3 linked regions of the Struthio camelus genome follow. The protein of the gene in region 1 interacts with the protein of each later gene in a pairwise test. Links are inferred from orthologs where the notes say so. Each region holds a gene or a part of one and is shown in the gene's direction. Other genes may lie near its edges. The genes, in order: MAPK14, DUSP1 and SUPT20H.

What was found.
Region 2: the proteins of MAPK14 (region 1) and DUSP1 interact in binary tests that used the Homo sapiens proteins (3 or more experiments, as listed by UniProt). The link is inferred for Struthio camelus from reciprocal best matches to the Homo sapiens genes MAPK14 and DUSP1.
Region 3: the proteins of MAPK14 (region 1) and SUPT20H interact in binary tests that used the Homo sapiens proteins (3 or more experiments, as listed by UniProt). The link is inferred for Struthio camelus from reciprocal best matches to the Homo sapiens genes MAPK14 and SUPT20H.

Annotation. Positions count from the first base shown.
Region 1 is NC_090965.1:4,986,611-4,994,194, reverse strand, and holds the start of MAPK14 (mitogen-activated protein kinase 14), read left to right. Parts: upstream 1-4,536; 5' UTR 4,537-4,780; coding exon 4,781-4,896; intron 4,897-7,584. Other genes in the region: SLC26A8 (testis anion transporter 1), read right to left, coding at 1,317-1,486. UniProt on the Homo sapiens protein: Serine/threonine kinase which acts as an essential component of the MAP kinase signal transduction pathway.
Region 2 is NC_090954.1:8,458,514-8,466,100, reverse strand, and holds DUSP1 (dual specificity protein phosphatase 1), read left to right. Parts: upstream 1-4,504; 5' UTR 4,505-4,767; coding exon 4,768-5,137; intron 5,138-5,264; coding exon 5,265-5,413; intron 5,414-5,510; coding exon 5,511-5,730; intron 5,731-6,275; coding exon 6,276-6,649; 3' UTR 6,650-7,317; downstream 7,318-7,587. UniProt on the Homo sapiens protein: Dual specificity phosphatase that dephosphorylates MAP kinase MAPK1/ERK2 on both 'Thr-183' and 'Tyr-185', regulating its activity during the meiotic cell cycle.
Region 3 is NC_090942.1:196,232,333-196,240,046, forward strand, and holds the start of SUPT20H (transcription factor SPT20 homolog), read left to right. Parts: upstream 1-4,702; 5' UTR 4,703-4,822; intron 4,823-4,955; exon of another isoform or gene 4,956-5,092; intron 5,093-6,428; 5' UTR 6,429-6,517; coding exon 6,518-6,520; intron 6,521-7,714. UniProt on the Homo sapiens protein: Required for MAP kinase p38 (MAPK11, MAPK12, MAPK13 and/or MAPK14) activation during gastrulation.

The DNA of each region.
Region 1 (7,584 bases):
AACCTACCAGATCTCATTTTCACAGAGATTAATCTTGATGACAAGTCTTGAAGATGAATGAAAAACTAGAAAACACAGTAGCAACTCAAATTGTGATTTCATTTGCCACTTACCACCAGAAAATTACTTCACAGTAGCATAAGTAAAACACAATCCACAGTTTTAGGCTGCAGTTCCACACATAGCTGAGCTGATAACAAGAGCTAGCTATACAGAAGGAGGGAGGTCTGACTCCCTGTCTTTCCCTGCGCGGTCCTGTCCCTTCTGGCTGCAGCAAGCTGTTGCAGCAAGCTCACCACATCTTGTGGAAGCTCACCCATGGCTAGCCTTGGTCTCAAGTCCTGCCACAGACCCAGAAAAACGCTTTATGTTTCAGTATACATTTTAGTTCTTGTGAACTGCTGAAAGAAAGCTCGGATAAATGACGAATCAGAGATTTTGTATTTGCTTTCTTATGAGGACTGTGCAGAGTAGACACAGCCATAACCATTGCCAGTCCACTCAGGATCCAAAGAAAGAAAACAGAGTATTCACAATTAAACAAAACTGAAAGGGAAACTGATGAAAGAGCTTCCTATTTTTGATTATATCTGCCTTGCTGGAAGAACATCAGGAATTCTCATATGCTGCCAAATGAGACTGCCTTCTGGCGTGCCTGCAGCCTGCAGGGCTCCTCTGGAAGAAGAGCTGCTTCTAACCCCAGTACAATGCCCAAAAGAGAATCTTGGCAGATAATGTCCCAGAATGGGAAAACCAGGCTGCTGAAGCATTAGTGCTATATCGGTGCGCTTGCCTCACCCCATTATTCTCAAAGAACACAGGAACACAGCTCCAAAATAAAGGAAAAGCACTTCAGTCAATCTCAGTCTTACCATTATGCAACTATCCATGTTCCCAACTAAGAAGGAACAGAAAATGGGTCTTGAAATGTAAGAAACAAAAGTAGCAAAAAACACAAACCAGAGAAAGCAGATGCAAGCTTGCGTATTGCAGCTGGGCAAAGGGAAGCGCTGGAGGGGACCGAAACTATTGGCAGTTTCTCTCTACAGTGCATCTATCCCTCGTGCTATCAGAGTCCTCAAGTGAACAGAAACTTTTGCAGACTGCAAATAGCCGCTTTCATAGTGCAGTGCTAAGCTGATCTCTCATGCTTCAGGTGTGAGTTGCCAGAACTGGGTGTTCTGCTTCAGTTATCAATCAACACACTTCAGCATTTTAATTGCCAGCAGTGGAAAGTTAGCGCCTTTTATTGCACTTGGGCTTGAAGAGTCTCCTTAGTTTCTTCGCATCTACCAAATTCCCTGCATATAACTCACCTGCATTGGAGCCGTCGGTGGACTCGAGGAATTTGTATTTCTCCACACAAGGTAGAGGAGAGGTTTCTTTCAAAGTAGGTCTGGAAGTGCTCCTCAGTTTGTATTTCTCTTTGGACCCTGTATACTGTTGGTTGTCTATCTGCCCTAACGATATCATCGTCTAGCTCCATATAGTCCTTCTGATCATGGACAGTCAAAACCGGAGGAACAGCAAATGCTGGAAGCCAAAATCAAAGAGCTTGTTCTTGGCACTAGGGCTAAAGGAAAGAAACAGGGTCATTGACTGAAGTCTCGCTTAAAAACCAAAACAATAAAAAGCATAATATGTGATCAGCCCATCCCAGCATAACTCCTGTGGAACCAATAGTCAACGCAGGGATAAGCAAGGCTTTGGAGACTGAAATCCATGAAGGACCTGCTGCTCTTAGGATCAGATAAATCAATCGCCAAATCACTCTCAGCAATACTGGGTCCTTCTGGAACCGGGCTTGTTCCAACTCTGTGGGAAGGACCAGCCTGGATCCCCTCCATTTTGTGATCCCAAAATCAGGCCTGTGTTTAGAAAACTGGATCCCGTCCCCCTCCGCAACCCAACTGCAGCTGGGGAACCAGTTCTAAATCTCCTCGTTTCTAGCCCTGGAGGAAAAAGATCTAGATTTGAATCATACAGGGAGCAGCTAAATCTGAGTTGCAGCATATAAACGCTGTGTAAAATCTATATTTGATACAGTTCAGGTTTTATAATCCTCAGAATGTCTGACTCCTATTCCTTAGTATTTTAATACCAGGAAGGAGATTTGAGTTCAATCTCTGTCACTCAGCGTAGGTAAGACGTGAGCTCCCTAAGGGAATACCGAGTAAGCAAAGGTCCACTGCAAGACAGGATCTGAGGCAAAGATCTTATACAGACAGCCGAGGCAAAAAAAAGATTCAAATCCAGAATTTCCAAGTGAAAGTACAGAGATTACACAAAAAGCAGGGTGATGACACATAGTAACATATAGGGAAAGAGGAAATATTAAAAGGCTGTGAGTTAGCAGTAGGACTCTATTCAGAATGTAGTCCAACTGTAGCAGAACTTGTAACAAAAAAAATGCATTGGGATTAAAGTTTCCTCTTCTTATTTCATTTCCTGAACTGCCAGGATCAGTGTACAGGCCTAGCGGTTTGCATCACTGAGCCATGCTACTTCTCATACAGCAACAGGGACTCTTGACACTGACTTTCCTGTCTTGTGAGACACAGCCACAGACGTGTACACACACCCCAGTCATTCTAAACCCCAGAAAGAGCTGGTGGTAGGAGAGTCTCAAACACACTCCATCATTAGGGCACAGTTCCTCCCTCTTCTTACAGAGAAGATAAATCTAGGTCTTCCACAGATAGATTTAAGAGCCATTTGTGTTCGTTTGATCTTCAGACCCAGTACAAGTTTTTAAAGCCTTACCTATTTTTGACATCTTTGAGCACAAGCACCTTTTCAAGATAAAATAACACAAGCAGCAAAACCAACAAGAGGCTAGAGTCTGCCGATGAAAGGCATTAAAAAGCCCAGCATGCCACAAAGTAAGTTACCTTTTAGACACAAGCAGTGGTCAAGTTCAGCTCTTGTTCACTCCTGTTATTTGGACTTCAACGGTGACTCATAGAGGCAGAGGACAGGGTCCCATTTTGTTAGGCTGTGTAGAGAACAAGAAGGTTTTTGACATGGGAAGCCGCCGTTTTAAAAGCAAGTTCCAGGCAGAACGTGCCTGTCTCGCACAGTATTGCGAACAAAACTCATCTTCCTCAAGCTTGAGATCCAACGGCAAAGGGCCTTATACTCAAATCCCTAACACTCTTTTATTTGCTGTGCAATTCTGTACTTACAACCTGGTGAAAACACGATGGGCTCCACTTCAAAACATGCTTAGCCTGCAGCACCTAGTGATTTCAATGTCTTAGGCGCACGCTTGAAAGTAGGCACGCACCCATCTTTGATAGCGTAAGGCAATATTACAGTACTCAGAAAATTCTCTATACGAATACAGAACTGGGAAATCTAGACAGAGATGGCTTTGTTCTCCCCATTACTGCTGGTGTAAAGCCCCTAGAAGGGGACAAAGTGCACTTGCGGGGACTACAAGGCAACCAAGACTGGCTTGCAGGACTCCAGAAGCACCAGACCTATGGGCAGCTCCAGAAAGGTCTCGATGGGCGCTTACTCCCCAGCGACCCTGCCATGTTAATCAGGGCCTGCAGAAATGCTGCGGGAAGTAAGTTTATTCATCGATTTTCCTTTTCTTTCTATTTCAAGCACGCCCTAAGGGCAACTGGGCAGCAAAGAGCGAAGGGGGGGTGTGCTCATGAAAACGCGAAGCAGGGGCAGCACTCGTGGAATTTTAGCTTTTTGGCAGCGGCCAAGGGTTATCCGGGGCCTCGGGCCCGGCCAGCCCGGTGCTGTGGGGGGCGGAGCCGGGGGGGCACCCAGGCCCCCCCCAGCACACCGCCCCCGCCCCGCCCCCTCGACGTCACCGGCGCCCTCCGCCAGGCCCCGCCCCCCTCCCGCTCTCGCGAGAAGACCCCCGCGCTGGTTCCATATTGGGTCATCTCTGCCCTGGGCGCCCCCAGCTCTCGCGAGAGCGGCCGTGCCGAGCGATTGGGCCCCAGCGTGCCGGGGAGGGGGGCGGCGGTCGCCTCAGCGCAGCCGGGGCTGTGCTGCGCTGCGCGGGGCGGAGCGGGCGGCCAGGCAGGGGGTGGGGGCAGTCGCCGTGGTGTCGCCGTCACCGTCCTACCTGCGACGGGCGTGTCCTTCTCCCCCCCCCCCCACACACCGCCACCACCGCCCCGTCTGTTGGCCCTGCGCCCCGCTGGCTGCCGGCGGGACGAGCCCCGCCGCGGCCCGCCTCACCTCACGGGGCTATCCCGCCGCTGGCGGCGCGGGGCGGGCGGCGAGGCAGCCGGGCGGCAGAGCAGGGCGAGGCGAGGACGGGGCGAGGGCACCAGGTGGGCGCGCGGCGGCTCCCAACGCCCGGGCGCGAGCGCCCCTCCCCTCCCTCCGCCGCCGCCGCCGCCGCCTTCCCCGCCCGTCAGCTCGGCGCGCGCGCCCGCTCCTTCCCCCTCAGCGCGGTGGTTGGGGGGGGGGGGGTCGGTGAACCGCCCGCGCGAGGCCTCTCGCCCCCCCCCCCCCCCCGTCGGGCGGGAGGGGGCAGCAGCGGCGCGAGGCGAGGGGGCGCGCGCGGGCGGGCGGGGCGGCGGCGGCCAACGGTCGGCGGCGTGAGGGGACGGCGGCGGCGGAGGAGAGGGCGTTGCTGCTGCACGGCTGCCTCCGCCCGCTGGAGAAGCGAGGCGGGGAGAGGGAAGAAGGAAGGAAGAAGCCGCTGCTGCTGCTGGAGGTGGCGGCGGCGGTGGTAGTGCTGCTGCTGCAACCGCGGGCAGAGCCTCCCCCTCCCGCCGGGCCGGGCGGGGCGGGCTCCGGAGCCGAGATGTCTCAGGAGCGGCCCAAGTTTTACCGACAGGAGCTGAACAAGACGGTCTGGGAGGTGCCCGAGCGCTACCAGAACCTCTCCCCGGTCGGCTCCGGGGCCTACGGTTCCGTCTGGTGAGTCCCGGGAGGGGGCAGAGCGTGGGTGTGCAGAGGGGGACGCGTCAGGCCGGTGCTTGGGCCCCTGCCCCGTCGTGCTGCGGCGCCGCGTGAGGGCGAGGAGGGCTGCCGTGCCGCCGCGGGGCTCTGCCGTGCCGGCTCCCCGCTGGCAGACCTGCCCCGGCTCGTAGGGACCCGCGGCAATAACGCGTGCAGGGCGCTCGTCGGCGAAAGCAAGCCCAGCGGAGGGGGTTTGCTTGGGGGTCCTTCTCCCCCGGCTCGGCTCAGCCTCCGCCAAGAAACACTCTTCTCCGTGGTTTCATAGCGATACTGCTGGGGAGGCACTGTCTTGTCTTTGGAATGCGTCGGATTGCACCACATGGCAGGTGGCACTAAAACATTTTTGCAGGGGGAGATAATCATGTCCCAGCACCCCCCACCCCAGCATGATCTCATATAGACATTTTTCACCGTGCCTTCTTCCAGTTACTAGGTAGGGGGTGGAAAAGGATGGAGGCTGGTAAGTCCCTGATAGCTGGCTTTGCAGAGCTGAGGGCCTGGCAGCTCTTGTTCCATTTTTTTTTTTTTTTTTTTTGCTGGACTGGAAGGATAGATCATCTATAAGGCAATTGCATTTTTAACTGAGATCTGCTGGTCGGCAGAGATGATGGCAGGAGGGCTATAAGGGCTATTTTTGCATCCCCGACTTGTAACAGCAGGTTTATGATTATCAGTGTTATTTTCCTGGTGATGGTAGATCAATGCGGGAAAACTTGTTCTCTTGCTGTAAAATGACAGAATTACTGCAATATGCGCTGCCTGGAAGAGCAAAGTCCTAGTATCAGGCTTGCAGAAACGTGGAGAATTTGGAAGTGAAGAGAGTTTAGTTTTTAATGCTTACCTACTACAAACAAAATGTATGACAGGTTACACATGCTAAATACAACAACGCTCCCTTCATTTGTAGTTCCTCTACTAAAGGATGTTGGCCCATTAAACCTAAGTTAATTGGGCTGCATTCATCACTTAAAGAAAATAAACTTGAATCAGTTTGACACCTAGACTTTAGCAATTGTATAATGGAGTCATATAAAAGTATTCATAAATTACTGTGTCCTTTTATTAAGAAATTTCTCTAATATGAATATTCTACTTTCTACTCTCTGTTCTTTTGCTCCATCAAACTATGATCAGAATTTTCTAATGCGGGCGCGTAATGCTTTGCTGCTGTATTTGAGCAGACATGCATATTTTTTCTTTAACATAATGTACAAATTGATATCAATATCATTTATGTATCATATTATGAATACCATAAAGAGGCATGCATACTGAACTGTACTAATAAAGAGTTGTTTTGCATGTGCTGCGGTTTTAAAGAAATAGAATTCTGTGCTGTTTTTAATATAGTAAGTTTAAGATAACAATGGTTTATAAAATTGCCAGTAAGTTCTGTTTAAATAACGCGTATTCTTAAAATTGTTATTCCCCAAGGGTTTAAACACATTTCATAAAAGGCAAAGGTTAAACCATTCTAGTAGCAAGATTAACTGAACGTACTCACTGAGTTTTTTATAGTAGAAAGATTTAGTTCTGTTGAAGAAGGGCCTGACTGCCCTAGTTGATAGATACCCCTTTAACTGCTCAGAGTTTCATTACTCACGGAAAAATAATAGGAAGTTAATTTGCTGAATGCCTTGTCCATTGTATTTTTAAGGTTTACCCAACACAATCTAACCCCTTCCTTTTGTCTTTTCCCCCTCCCCACAATCTCCATTGTGCTTGTAATACTTCCAATGTTTGTTTTCACAACCAATAACTGAAGAGTTTGCATCATGAATTTCCTGTTTTGTTGTGTCAAAACTTTCAAAGATTGTGCAACTGCATGCAGGCCAGATGAAACAATTTTTCATTGGAAGCAATTTCAGACATGTGGCACATTGAGTCTTAATACTGTCCATGTTGATGTTTTTCTCCTAAAAATACATATTTCAGAAAAGATGCGGTTTGGAAAGGCTAGTAATATAGAAAGTATGTCCGGATTAAAATAAAAATGGCATATATAATTTTCTTTTATCTGTAATATTGTTAAACTGCAAATGGTGATGCATGATATTTATGATATTCCTAAGACGCCTTGTTGCATTCTCTGTCCTTTTAGAGATTTTTCTCTTTCTTCCTCTTCCCCCTCCTTTTCCAGGAAAAAGTTATCTAGTTTCATTTGAGACTTTTTGTTGGGAGCACATGTATGCTGGGATAGTAAATTGCAGCGTTTTAGCCACCCCTAAACTGGATGGTTAAACATACGTCCCGGGATGTCTACTGCGTTATTGTGTTAGAATATAATAGGATGTTCTGTTGTTTATTTACCTACCAAGGTGAAAGAGTTAAAAGTGAGAAATTTCTGGAGAGTAGGGGGAAAAAGTTAATAAATAAATAATAGAGCCAGGAAATAAATCATTTAGACTACGGCGCTGTCTGCTGTAAGCTACTTTAAATGTTTAGTTTAAGTATGGCTTAGAGCACCTGTAGATAAGAACCTGACTTTATTTTGAAGTCAGTGGAGAGCGAGAGAGAGGGGCGTTTTCTTCAGGCAACTTAAGGCACCCAAGTCACATGCTTAAAGTCAGAGCAAATATTCCAATATTTTCTGAAGTGTTGTGTGCAGTCTTGGAAGAAGGATGTTCAAACAGACAACTCGGATAC
Region 2 (7,587 bases), on another chromosome or scaffold:
TGCACAGAGATTCTCCTATGCAGGGCGATGATGAAGGGGCTTTTATTATTCCACAGTTACGTACCCATCCCCTGGCTGTGTCCTCAGTCAAAATACCTGAGCTGCTACACCAACCGTTTTGGGCTCAGCACGGGGCAGTTGTGCAGCAGACGTGGCGCGCGGCGCTCAGGTCAGCCTAGGTTTTCAGCCTCCCTCTCCAGGAGTGAGACCCGACTCCAGAGCCTCCTTCCCCGCTGCCGGGACTGGCCTCCTAATTTACCGACCTTATCACCCCTGGCATTAAGGATATGGGGCAGTTCAAACTCAGACCCTGGCAAAAGGGTTCAGCCTGAGGATTTAAGGATGGAAAAAATAGTGTTTTCACTGTAGTACTAACTCATCAGTAATTTTTTATTGTTCATATTCTGCTTGTTGTATCCTTTCACTGCTGGAGCCTTTTCTTTCTCTCTTTTCTTCTTCTCTTTCTTTTGCTTTCTCTTTCTCCCCTTGTTTTTTTCTCTCCTCTCTTTCTTTCTTCCTCTCTTTCCTTTTCTTCCTTCCTTCCACCCTTCTGTCCTTTTCCTCTTTCTTTCCTTTCCTTCCTTTTTCCTTTTTTTTTTTTTTTGTGAATGTGGGTGTCTCTGTACAATCTGTCCAAATATTTACAAAAGGAAATGCTGGGTTGTGAAACTGAATTCGGAGAAAATGTTACACATGCTGAAGAAATGCATCCAGCACAGTTTCCAAATTTTCCCACATGCATTTTTGTTCTCTGTCTCAAGTCTCAAGGCTTGATCTTGCATATCTTTATTCAGGCAAAACACACGCTGAGGGCAGAGAGGCACAGGCTCGGGTCATCTCCGACGGCGCTGTAATCCAGAGTTTTCTGGAACGTTTCAGGACTGATTTTGGCCATGGGTGACCAGTTCCAAAGCCTGAATAACCAGTTTTACTGGGTAATCAGTTTGTGCAATGGGCCAATTGCAGGCACGGAGTTATCTAACCTTGTCCCCAAGTTGTTAATGAATTGGCCTCAGTGCCAGTCCACGCAGAGGCCGTCTGCAGATCTCCAGCGTCTTCACAGCTAAACATCAGCCAGGCTGGACTGGGAGACCTGCAGGCTCCGAGAAAAGCTCTGAGGGCTCCTGTCCCACTGAGACTGAGAGAAAACACTCAACAATGACCTTATGGAAAGGGGGTGAAGTCGTTTTCCCAGGAAGCGGGAAAATCCTGTGGAGCTCTCATGGCATTATAGGCTTGTGAATACTCTGGCAGAGCAAGGGGGGAGCTGCAGCCCCCCAGGCCAGCCCTAAAGGGGCCGGGACCCCAGCAGCAGGTCCCCACCTGCTAAAATAAAAGCCTCGCCTCCCACCTCCACACCCAGGGCGCAGCACTTCATGCTGCTGTTTCTATTATTATTCGTACAATGACATTGTGGCCTGAATGCAAACACGGATTTGTTTTGGAGGAAGGGGTTAATTTTGTATTTCCTGGCTTTTGTTAACATAGGAAATCAAACCCTTAAGAAAGTCGTTCAGGTCAGCCTGAGCTCCTGTAAGTCACTCTAGTTTTGTGTTGTGTTTTCCTTTCTTTCATTTTTATAGCACCTTAGTCAAACAAAGAAGGAAAATAGAGTAAAGCAAGGAAATAACTAGTCCAGCATTATAAGCGCTTAAGAACACACTGCCCCATGTAATGATTTTTTTTTCTTTCTGATTTGCAGCGGGTGTAAATAAAACCAGATTAAAGAGTCTCATAATTACATGACAAACCTATCAAAGAGCAATTACTGCCATCGCGTACGTTGCGGGTGCAGGCTCCCCTCCCCTAAAGGCATCATCTGAACGTCTTCCCTGCGCGGCCTCAGAACAGCCAAGGTATCTTGCCCTTATTTAACGTTTGTATAATGTTAGTTGGCAACACAACTGGAAAGGTTGTTCTTATCAGGAGCGCTTTCTCAGTTAGCCATGCAGATGGCGGATACGGCACTTACTTTAATCTTGGGGAAAGCTGAAGCTGCCAAACGGGGAAAAAATACGCCTCTTAGTTTTGTTTTGTGTGGGACACCAAGAAGAAGTTGGGACAACAGGAGAGAACATTGTCAGCCGCTCACAGTCACTTGTGCCTGTGAGCCAGGCTGGCTCTCTGCCGACAGGGAACGGGGGCTCAGCACCGTTGGAAATAGTGTCTTCCCATTAAGGCATTCAAGGGAAGTCGTCCAACCCGCGCTCCTGGTGCTGGAGCGCGCAGGCCTTCGGGCTTGCGGCAGGAGCTCAGCACCCTGGTGACACCCGTCGCTGGAGGACGGTGCCTCTCCCAGCTCGCCAAGGCCTCGCGGCTGCAGCCGGGCGCCGTTCCTCACCTCCCCGAAGCTGCCGCGGGGCCACGACCGCTCCCGCCTCGCTCTGTAGCGGAGCAAGGTGAAGCGAAGCCTCCGTGTGAGTTTACAGAGAGGTCACAGTCTGATGTCAACCTAGGGGAATCCTCTCTAGGAGAAGGTGACGAATAAAGCCCAGTGTAGTGGTCCTCTGCCGTACGGGACGCTGCGGCAGAGAGTTGGCCGTCAGTCGACCGCGGCTAATTCCTCCTGCTCGGTGGCCCGGAAGGAGAGCGCTGGAGGCTGCTGTTCGGACATCGCCTGGGAGGTGGCCAGAGCTCGGCCGTGAGCCCTCGCTGCCGAGCAGGCGGCCGCGCGGCGGAGCGCCGTCATTTCCCAGCACCGAGGCGTACGAACGTTTCTCTCGCAGCCTGTTTCTAACTCGCTGGTCGAAGAACAGCAATAAACAAGGCAAAAGAAAAGCGCAATCCGCGCTTTGTTTTTAAGGACCGCGTTGGAAGAACAGATTCGCCGTGAGGCTGCAGTTGCGGCGCAGAAGCCGGAGCTCAGCGGAACGGAGGCAGCTCTGCGGTGACGGCGCGAGCCGGAGGGGCCGCGCGCCCGCCGACGCCGTCCCCCGCGCGGCCCTCTCTCCCCCCGCCCCGGGACCGCCTGCAGCCCGCCGCCGCCTGCCCGTGGCTTCAGTTGCTCGACGGGCTGAGCAGACGGAGATGCCGCCTTGGAAAGCAGCAGCCCGGGGAGGGAAGCGAGAGCAGGGACCGGCTGGCAAGGGCGAGGGAAGAGAAACGCGGCCGGGCCAAGCGCTCGGGGCAGAAGGAGGGATGGCTGCGGCAGGGCTGGGGCGGGACGCGCTGGGAGCGCGCCGGTGGGAGCGGGGCGCCCGAGGGACGGGGCCGGCAGGCCGGGGTAGGAGCCGGCAAGGAGACGGGGAAGTGAAAGCAGCAGTGACTGGAAGCCCTGAGTAAGAAACACCCGAGTGCTGGTGGAAGCTGATCGCCCACGGGGAAAAGAAAACTTTTCCCAAACTTGTACTACTTCATTGCCAGTTACTTGGTAGCTCTAATTTCTGGGGAAGTTTTCTGTACGGAAATCCAACTTTGTGCAGGCTGTAGGTCTATTACATATCTTTTCCTCACACAAAACATGATGGGAACTGTTCTCAAATATATGCTTATAATACAAATATATATGCAAATATAATATATTTATATGCATCTATTTATGTGTATTTATCTGCCTGTACATGTCTGTACGGGTATGTATGAATATAAATACATGGATGGGTAAGCTCGTCTCTTTGTGAGCATGTTTGACGAGAATAAACACGAACACACGCCTCCCTAGAGCATCCGCTCACACTGGTGCTGCCCCAGGGTCCTTCCCACACCCTCAGCAACACTGGTCATGGCAGAGGACGGACGGGGACCACCACTGGCTGGGAGGGGACAAAGGAGCCCAGCCCCCACCCTGCCCTGGGAGCCCGTGGGCACCGGGCTGCGTGTCTGTGGGGGTGGGGGGGAGCGGGGTGTGTGTTTAAGTGTATTTGTACGTGCATTTACGTTCTGGGGTAGTACATGTCTCTGTATGTGACTACGCATGTGCATGTATGCGTGTATATATGCATGTGTGCATATGCATATATGTATGGGTGCACATGTGCGTATGCATATATGCGTATGTATATGTGTGTATGTTTATATGCATGTGCATATACATGTGTGTGTGCAGGTCTGTGTATATATGCACGTATCTAGGTGCGTATGTATGTTATGTGTGAGTAGGTACATGCATGTGTATGTATGTGTGTTTCACATATGTGTGTATGCATGCGTGTGTAAATACATGTGTGCGGGGGCAGGCATGTGTATGTACATACAGGTGTGTCTGTAGGTCTGTGTGTGAGTGTGGATACGTGTGTGCCTGTAGGTATGTGTATGTGTAGGGGTGTATGTGTATGACTGTGTGCAGGTACACGTGTAGAGTGTATGTATGTATGTGTGTATCCGTGGGGGGGGTGAGTGCATGCAAGCGTGTGTGCGTGTCTGTGTCTGTGTGTGTCTGTGTGCCGGTCCCTCTGTGTGTATGTCCCTCTGTGCGAGTCCGTCTGCCGCCGGGTCCGTGTGGCTGAGCGCGCGGGCGGGCGCGCGCGCGCGCCGCGCTCCGGCCGGCCCCGCAGCACATGACGTCATCGCCGGCCGGGCTGGGCGCGCCGCGGCTGGCGCGCCGCCAGGTGACGTCTTCGCGGAGCGCTCACGTGACGCGGCCCCATTGAGAAAACGGCGGCGGCGCGGCGGCGCGCCGCGATATAAGGCGGGCGCGGGCGTACGGGGCCGGGCTGCTGCCGGGACGCGACACCGACACCGACACCGACCCCAGTGCCGACCGGCCGCCCGCCACCCGGGGTCGCCTCCCTTTCTTTTCCTTTGCTTCCCTGCGCGCTGCCGCGGGCCATGGTGAACCTGCGGGCGAGCGCCCTGGAGTGCGAGGCGCTGCGGGGGCTGCTGCAGGAGCGCGCCGCGCAGTGCCTCGTCCTCGACTGCCGCTCCTTCTTCTCCTTCAACGCCTCGCACATCCTGGGCTCCTGCAACGTCCGCCTCAGCACCATCGTCCGCCGCCGCGCCAAGGGCGCCGTGGGGCTGGAACACGTCGTGCCCAACGAGGAGCTGCGCGCCCGCCTGCGCCAGGGGCTCTTCCACACCGTGGTGCTGCTGGACGAGCGCAGCGCCGACCTGGAGCTGCCCAAGCGCGACAGCACCCTGATGCTGGCCCTCAGCGCCCTGTGCCGGGAGGCCCGCGGCGCCCGCATCTGCTTCCTCAAGGGTGAGTCTCCCCGCCGACCCCCGACGCCGCCGGCTGCCCCGCCGCGGCCGCCCCGGCCCCCCGCGGGCCTCGGGAGCGCCGGGGCCCCGCGGCGCTCACCGCGGCCTCTCTCCGCCCGCTCTTGCAGGGGGGTACGAAGCCTTCTCGTCCGCCTGCTCCGAGCTGTGCACCAAGCCGGCCGCCCCGACGGGCCTCAGCCTGCCTCTGAACGCCGCCAGCGCGCCCGGCAGCGCCGACTCGGGCTGCAGCTCCTGCGGCACCCCGCTCTACGACCAGGTGAGGGGCTCTGGGCGACGAGGGTGGGGGGGGGGTCGGGGTGGGCTGCCTTAAGATCACAGCGAGACTAACTGCTTCTCTGTCCCTTCTGTTTCAGGGTGGGCCCGTGGAAATCCTGCCGTTTCTCTACTTGGGCAGCGCGTACCATGCCTCCCGCAAAGACATGCTGGATGCTTTGGGGATCACAGCGTTAATCAACGTCTCTGCTAACTGCCCCAACCATTTTGAAGGGCACTACCAGTACAAAAGCATCCCGGTGGAGGACAACCACAAGGCAGATATTAGCTCCTGGTTTAATGAGGCGATTGATTTCATAGGTAAATGAGCTCTTTACAGCCTGCTTTTTTTTTTTTTCCCCCAGGGATAATGTATCCCAATTGTTGGGAAGCAACCCCAGTGCTCCCCTGCCATCCTCCCCCAGCCCAGGCTACATCTTGCTACATTGTATCCCGGGGGATTTCATTCCATAGAGGAGATATACTTAGGGAACATTCCCATTAATTTTATTCTACTAGGGGTGGAATAATCCTGGCTTTAAAAAGCTGCTTGAAGTACTGAATCAAGAGGCATAGGTCTTACAGAAAAGAGCTAGCGAATTTAAGCGGATAAGTCTTAAAGTAATCTTGCAAGAGCAGTAAAGTGACCCGGAGGAGCTATTAGGATAATCGGAGTTGGAGTTCAGAATGAAAATAGCTAGACTGCTGTTTGCTTCGGGACAAAGGCTCCCTTTGTCTCCGAAGCACCCTGCACACCTATTAGGCTAAGGGAGGGATGGACTAAAATGTGAAACAGTAGCCTGTGCTTTCCCACCTTTGGAAGCAGTGGGGCTTGTTTGCTAACTGTGTGTTTTTAATTCTTTCAGACTCTGTTAAAAATGATGGTGGAAGGGTATTTGTGCACTGCCAGGCTGGCATTTCCCGGTCAGCAACCATCTGCCTTGCTTATCTCATGAGGACCAACAGAGTCAAACTAGATGAAGCCTTTGAGTTTGTGAAGCAGAGAAGAAGCATCATCTCCCCAAACTTCAGCTTCATGGGACAGCTGCTTCAGTTTGAGTCCCAGGTCCTTGCCCCGAACTGCTCAGCAGAAGCTGGCAGCCCTGCTATGTCTGCTGTATTGGACAGAGGAGCATCAACCACAACCGTCTTTAACTTTCCAGTCTCCATCCCTGTTCACACATCGTCCAGTGCTTTAAGCTACCTTCAGAGCCCCATCACCACTTCTCCAAGCTGCTGAAAGGCAGGTGAAAACATGATCAGAACTCTGACTTCTATTGTCTCAGAAGTGCAATAACTATGGGGACAGTGTCATCGGTCACTTGCATTTTTTGGGGGGAATCCATCCATCCCAGAGCGCTGCTGTGAGCGGACAGGAGCTCGCCTGACTCCAGAGAACTAGGTGTTACCAACTTTTTTGTTGATATTTTAAGCCAATATCTGGATGTCTACGTAGAGATCAAAAAACATTGTCTTTTCCTGAGCTGTTCCTTGTCTTCTGTCTGTTCTAAGCCTGCTCCCTGTTTAGTAGCATACATACCAGTATTCCCGTTCCTGGACACTTCAAGCAACACTGATGCTGTCCCCTGTAATATGACAGTCCTCCTATTTATTTATTTTTACATTAATGCATTTTTTGCCTTCACAAACCTAAGGCTTCATTTCTAGAGAAACAAAATACCTCAGTATTTTTTTGGTACTGTAATCCTGTATATATCTGTCAACTCTTCTAGTTTCCCAAGCACTGACATGAAAGCACCAGGCGAGTGCTTTTTTGAGTTGCCAAGGGTTGTATGTTTGCTGATTATTTATGATGTGAAATAATATATTTCTTCTTATGAAGACATAGTTTTGTTACATGATTACAACTTTTTATACAAACAGAATAAATTATGATATTTCTATTGAGCTGCATATGTCTTTCAAAATTTCACTGTCTCAAAACTCCACTTGGGTGTTCCCAGATGAGCTGTAAGAAGTCTGAATTTAGGACTCTGCTGCTGAGCTTGCTGACTTCAGGCAATGCAATTAGACAGTGTCCTGACTGAGCAAGATGGAAAATGGTTTTAAAGACAAAATACTTGACCAGAAACTAGCTTTTCTTCCTGAGCTGAGATCTCCTGTGATCTAGGAGAAGGCTGTGACTTGGCCTGTTTTGTGCCCATGTTGTTATGCGAT
Region 3 (7,714 bases), on another chromosome or scaffold:
TTAAACCACATGCCCACAGTCTGTCTGACTTGAACAAAGAGCTTTCTACTGATGAGCAATGCTGTCATTTCTTTTTTCATCTCTACTCAAATGAGGGGGATAGTACTTGAATCATTGTATCGGCCTGAGCACATAAATCTGATTCATATGCCTGCATACCATTTCATTGTGAAACAGCACAGGGAAATGGAAAACAGCTTTGCAATTTTCTACTGGGATAAGTGTTATCACTATGGCTACAGAACTCTGACACTCTGTTTTCATGAATGCATCAAATACACCAATCAAGTAAATCTGTTTATAGACAGATAGCTATTATGAATGAAGGCTTGTTAATATTAAAGAATAATGTAATTTAGATAGATTAGCAATGAGACTGACTTCTAATCTACACTGAAATATTTAAAGCTAAAAAAAAAATCCCATTACAATACTTTGGTCTTTCAATTTTTGCATGGCTGTTTTATATTTTTACTGCCGTATACAGTCAGCAAAGTGAAACATACATACTAAAAGCTGGTTCCTATCCAAGAAATTTTGAAAAATCATAGAAATTTCATATTCAGAGTCAGTCCTTGACTAATCTTATACCGACACCTAAACTCACTCTTCCTTGTAACCTATGTGGTTTATAAACCAAGACATCAAGGGGGATAGCAGGCTTTGCAGCAGCTGCTCTTAATCTTTTCTGTAAAAATCACAGGCTCATAGGACAACTCAGGTTGGAAGGGACCCCAGGATGTCTCTTATCCAACCTTCTGCTAAAAGCGTCAACTGCGGGCTCAGACCAGGCAGTTCAGGGCTTTATCCAATCAGGATAACAGGTAGGTAAGAAAGGAAACTGTCAGAGTTTGAACTCCTTGTCCTATTACTGTACTTGAGGTTGCATGTGCAGGAGTGTACCTTTTCAAATGAATAGACTAACTTTCCCTCAGCCTCAGGAGGAAGCAAAAGAGGCATTGCAAATACATCACAGTTCATCCTGCAATACACCCTTGGAGCAGCACAGTTATTCCTTGTTCTTTCTGTGTGGCTGTGAGCATAGGATCATTTGATTTTAAAGCCAAATGCAGTGAAGAAACAATGCCGAAAGAAGTAAGCACTGATGTCAAGTTTTGTCAGTAATACAGAACAAAATCCATTTTTGAAATCCAAGGCCGAAGAGCCACACCACACTATAACTGAAGGGATGAGGAAAGGATGCACCTGAAGAGAAAACTCTTATCTGTTTAGATATGAGAACTCAAAAGTGGTGATCAACAAACCTGGATTGTCTTTTCAGATTCAGCGACAGTCAGTCTAAGTGATGGCTCTCCACTGCAGAATCCTTTACGTAATAAACTAAACTGTCCTGTAGAAGCATGGGGTAGATGGAGCCTAATCAGTTCATCTTATCTGTTACATGAGGCAGGGTACTAGACTCAAAACAGAAGGAAGTTACACTTCTTATTGAGGTCTGAAAGGGAGATGCTGTTATAAGGAGGAGCTTGGGAGACTATGTTATGCCTGGACAATAACTCTTGTTAATTTGGATGATACAATTCTTGTTGCTGTGTTGACTAGAACCTAAGAGGAGCTGACAAGATTGTAAGTCGCATTTGCTAGGGCCCCTCTACAGAGGGCTGCATAAGACTCAAGGCTGGATTTAGAGACTGTCTTAACATAGACTTTAGGAGTAAACAAAAATCAAAAGAGAGGAGTAAGCAAGGTGGCAAAATACTGTACTAGATTTTTCAGAGTAGTAAAAATGAACTCACAGCACAGAGTGACTGAGCATTAAACTAGCAGGTGAAATTCAACACGTATAATGGTCATAAAGAAGGGCTTAAACCCCAAATTGCAGGGTCTGAATCTAAAGGAGAATCCTATCCACACTTTTCAGAAACTGAAAACGTCAAACATGAGAAGTCCAGAAACTCTATTTTTAAAACTCAGCTGTTGCCTCTCATGTATGCAGCTAATTTGAATTTGTGCCTGGCTGGTGGGAATGCTGAGGGGCCACTAGTACAGAAGGTGGTGGAATCTTGCAGATGTGATGACAATGCAGAAAATCAATGCTAAGAGGGCTTGCAGAAAGGGAAATGTAGGATGCCTGTTTTCTCCAATGCCTTCCCTGTATAGCACAAACACAGCAGAGCAAAGCCAGAGGGAAACATGGGCCCGCAATATGCATGCATTTGAAATGATCCAGCTTGAACTATGGTATTATAGCTCTTCTCAGGAACAATCTACAGTAACAAGGAAGACATACCTAGAGAGTTGGAGTCACCTGAAATTAACAGGTTCCAGAGAAAAGGAATAAAAAAAAGAGATGAATTATAGCACGGAAGGAATGGGTGAAAACTGCTCCAATTATTTATTATCAACATTCCCTGTTCTGCAGAAGAAAAACTCATCATCTGGTGGCACAAATTTCAAAGAAATTTAGTCAGTAAGCCACAAGATGACTCACAGCATAATTACTTGGACAGCATCCATCTTCAAATAGATATGTAGAAGGAATGAAATAGGCAATCAAGGAGTTTTAAAAGCTGGCTTTTTAAAGGACATATGGTCCAAAAAGGAGAAAGTGAGAATGTAAACAAGTTGAAGGACAGTTGGAACAACTGTCAGGCAGTATAGATGGTTACCAACTCCCAGGACTGATTTTCCAGTTTTCTCACTGGAAAAGTCCGTAGGTTCCCAAATCAGTTCCATACCTACAGACTTGTTTAAATACCTGTTCCAAAATCTTCAAACTTTTCCATACGGATTTAAGGGAGCACAGAGAGAACACCAGACAATTGGCTTAAGCTAACTACAATCAAAAAAATTTGACTTGCTGTAAGACATTTTACGCGAAGATTTCCAAAAGCATGAATAATGGGAGAGGGTAAGCTTCACCACGAAGCCCAGTACGGGGCAGTCAATTGGGAGGTGACTACTCAGGAATCTCAAAGTTCATATTCCAAATTACCCCAGCCTGATACTTAGAATGTTTCCGAATGGAAGAGGGTGGTGAAAATGTTCACCTGGCACAATGAACAGCTAAATGACCAGGAAAAGATGTTCAGTGTTCCAGTTAATCACTGATTTTTTTTTTTTTTTTAAAAAAAAGTCTCTAAATGTAAAAACTCCTACTTTAAGCAAATATACTAAATGCCAGAAACGTATTCCAGGATTTGTTTCTCCAGTACCAGTCTTCGTTTCCCCAAAACCATCATCACAAATCCTGAAAACTTTCTAGAAGGATCAGAACATTGAGAATCCGAAGAGCTATGGGTTCTAAATAGAACCCTACCCTGATTAAAAACTGTAGCATATACTAAAAATAAAATTGAAGCTGAAGATGCTAAAGTATTTGGGCCTTAAAAAAATCATGTTTTTAGACTTGAAAGATACCATTATTTTAATGCATAAAGAACCTATGAATTTTGATGAGATTCAGTCATGAGTTGTGCTCACTTGTTCCTTTAAATTTAACAACATACAGATAGCGTGGAGCAAGTACTTTCAGGCCAAAATGTAGCTTTTCAAGCTAGTTTGCTTCTGCAGTGGTCTCATGGAATAAGAGAATTTTAGTGTTGCACATGAAACAGATTCCCCAGGTTTTAACGCTAACAGGAATGAAAACATATTTGCTACATATTTTTATAGAATTATGAAGAAATATATATTTTTTATTTACAGAGATGCTTTAAAACTGTTATAGTTTTAACGATCTCAGACTGTAGTCATACGTGTGATTGCTTGCTAGTTAGTTCCAGTGACAATCTGCAGTGAAAGAACTAACTTCCAGAACAATACATACAACTAATATATGCCAAGCAAAATAAAATAAAGTAGAATGACTACAATAGGCTTATAATAAACAACAGTAAGTGTTCAAAACCTAATTACAATACTCTTTATCATTATAATCATTGTACAAAGTTGATCATATGCTCACCATTTGTTCCATCTGTGTACAAGACAGAACATATGTTTCTGGTAAGGGGAAAAGAGGCATAAAGAAACAATACATTTAGAGAATATGCAAAATTATCTGTGATTCTGAGAAACCCAACTCTTTCCAAGGGTACCTCCTATGGCTTTTCTGAATTTTATAAAGGGTGGGGTTATTAGCAGCACAGGTATAAAATTGTCCACCTCCCTCTCTTGCATCCATTTTTACAAAACTTTAAGGGATCTCAGAGACCTATTAAGATGAAAAGGGCCAGCAGATTTTGCTGCAGAAAGGCTTGGGGGAGACCTAACGCATACACACAGCGGCACCTCCTTTCTGAAAGAAACTGAGGTAGCGTTAAACAAAGATTCCCTAGCCGTTTGCCCACCGTATCTTTCCAGAATTATCACTCTTTTAATCCTCCATTTGCTGTCCTTCCACCACCAACTGTCACTCCCTGGTATTGGAGCCAGTGGTTTCAGCGACTCGTGGCTGCCCCAAAAGCACACAATAAAAATCCTCAAATACCCTTTCGGCATTCCTGTAAGGAAACGAAATCTGCTCCAGTCTTTACAACTGCACGATGCCTGTAGAGGTACCCTACTACCACATAAAGCCAGGGAAATTAGGCACTTAAGTACTTTCAAGCCTTGAACCGAGTGTTTTCCAGAAGGCCCAGCCACCTCGCCTGCGCCTGCCGGCCGCTTCCGTCTCTATAGCGACGCCGCGCCCGCCCCGCCCCCTCGTCCCCATGGCGACCGCCCCGCCCCTTCCGCTGGCGCCTCGGAAGCGGCGGGGCGGAAGCGGCGGGGGGCGCCGCCGTGGGCCGAGGCGGGGGCGGATGAGCGGGCGGCGGGGGCAGCAGCGCGGGGGGCAGGACCCCACGTGAGGCCGCAGGTAACGGCCCTTGGCGTCACGTGCCTTCCACTCCCCCTCCCCCACTGCCGCGCGGGGGCGGGCGGCCGTTGGGCGGCAGCGGCGGCCCCTGCGCCCTCGCGCCCTCGCGGGCCGGGCCGGGCCGGGCCGGGCTGCGGGAGCTGGGTCCGACCCGCCCCCTCCGCCTCGGCCCAGCGCGGCCTCCTGGCCCGGCCCGGCCCGGCCCGGCCCGGCCCTCCCGGCTGGCTGCTGCGGTCGGTGGCTCCATCCGCTCGCTCTCCGCCCTCGCAGGTAGGCCCGTCTCTGCGGAGAAGGCGGCAGCGCCGGCGGGCGCGGAGGTGCCGTTGGCCCCGCGGCCGCCTCGCCGGATCGGACCCTCCCTCCGTGTCGGTGCTCGCACCCGCCATCTCGCTGGCCGGCGGGCGAGGTGCTCTTTCGGTCTCCCTCTTCTCGGTGCCCGTGTCGGCTTTAGCGTGAGCCAGGGCAGCGCCGGAGGAGCCGGGGAGAGGCTGCTCGGGAAAGCAGCTGGTCTGTGCGACAGGGCGGGGGACGTCCGGCGGGTCGCCCCGCGCAGGCTTCTCTTGGCCCGCTGCCTTGCCGCCCGCCAAAGCCAGCGGGTTTCGGTCTTACGGGGAGCTTTGAGTCATTTGCCTTCTGTGTATGTCTTCTGTGGAAACTGGTGCTGGGCTGAAACTACTAAGTAAGAAGGTTCTGGGAGGTTTTAGGGAGCAGACAAATATGTCATCAGAGGCCTAGGAAGCTGTGTAACTTTTGCCCGCACCAAGGCTGATGTGAAATGCAGATGCCCCAGAAATGTTTTCACAAATTAAAATGATGTTTTGTGGAAATTTTTAAATGACGGTTTCAAGTAGTGCTAGACATGGCAATGCTCAAATTTTGAAGTGAGGTTGACTTTAGTTTTCGCGTCTCTGCTGGGAAAAATGCTAAGAAGAAACTATGTAATTAGTGACAAGTAGATGGCATTAGAAAGATTTTTATTTAAGCCCATTTTGTTTAATACAAGTATCAAGCTGAGTTTAAAAATGAAACAATAAAGGGACATAGTGTGCGAGAACATCTCAGAAATGTACTTGTGCTATGAAAATTTAATTTGCGTTGCAGTTGACAGTATGCAGTGAGTCAGTATTAAGCTCACATCGCAAAGTAATGCTAGAGGCACTGCTGGTGAGGCTGTTGTCTACGGAATAATGTTTTCATAAAAGCAAGACAAAAAAGTAATAGAGTATGTTAAATATTCTGGTCGCTTGCAGTTGCATACTCTAGCCTTCTGTGCATCTCTGGACATGAAGCTTGGGGTGTTTAGGTAGACTGCGACAATAGATGATTGTACGTGGCTATATGATTTCTATTATGTGCTTATTATTACTTTATTAATTAATATCTCTGATGTAAAATGATTGTGCAAAGTCGTAGTAGTCATTAGAATAACAACTTCTGCTCTTACACTGAATGGAACCTTTATTTCTACTTTTGGATGAAGGCTACTATGCAAATGAGATTTAAATGTGATTAACAATTAGAAATGTTGAATGTAAATAACTAAAATGCTTATTTAGTTTCTTAGTGATATATATATATTTTTTTCTTTACTTTTCGGTACCCCAAGTGTGACCAAAAAAAAAAATGATTCGTTGTCTGCTGTACGAAACATCTTAAATATTCCATTTGCCGTTTGGTCACCTGGCTTCAACGACAATGGTAAGTTATGATTCAAATAATATATTTTCAGATCTCTTTTTCTCTGCTCTTCTAGCTGTGTGGATGATGAGGAGGGAAAAGCTTATTAATATTCATCATCAGCTTAGGTATTTGATTTTACTTAGCACTCCTGAGTTTCCATCATTCCTTTTTTCAGTGATGTCTTCCTTTGTAGCTTGCGTGTTCTACTCCTAAAGACTTAGTTATTGTCCAGTGCATTATAGGAATCACCATGTAAAGCTAGTGGTGTGTTTTCAGTCGTGGCTGGTATTAGACAATTAATCATGAAGTATAAACCCTACCTGCACTTATGTTTTTAGTATTCTTCTGTTCACAGGCGATATGGCTGTGGATTTTTCCCTAATGTCAAGCAATCAGTGAATAGAATATTTGAAATCATGGGATTATCCTGTATGCTTATACAGAACACGTAAATGTTTGATATATTCATATAAACACCTAAACACTTCAAAATGTAAACGTTCTGTAGTATTAGGTTCTAATGAATAATAGCACGCTATCAGTGTATGCTTTTTCTCTCAAGAACAGGTAAGAAATTCTTTAGTAGAAATACTGTGGGTGAAAGATTATAAGCCTATGTAAGTATTTTCCTGTATATTTCTTCCTTTTTTGTTTAGTATGCTTCTCTCCCCTGAATTCTGTTCTAAAGTATGAAATAACATGCGTAATCTATACTGGAGGTAGCTCATAGGCCTGCTCTTTGAGGTTTGAATAAAGGTATTTTCTTTTATGAAGAGCTGAGAGGGATGGATGTAAACTGAAGAAACAGAAAGATATATGTAAGGAGAAATACCTGTTCAAGAGTTTCTAAGCATTACTAGGGAGTGGAAGATTCTCCAAAATGTTTCTCTATACCATTTCAGTAGCACAGCCTATTTAAAAAGTTCTGGTTGTCAGGATTATATATTAGTTATTAAGTGACATCTTTTTTTTACTTTTGTTAGAGATGATCACATGTGTATTCCTTAGGACTTTGTCCATCTGCCATTGAAGTTAATGCATTGCTTCTCATTAATTTACCTGGAGCTGAATCAAGCCCTAAGCATTCTCCTGCAATACTTCAGTTCTTAGTATCTTACAAGAAAAACTAAAAGACTTGCTCTCACCTATTTTGTGTCAGTAGGACAGCAGGTACAACTGCATAGCTAATTGAATTGTGGAACTGTGCCATAT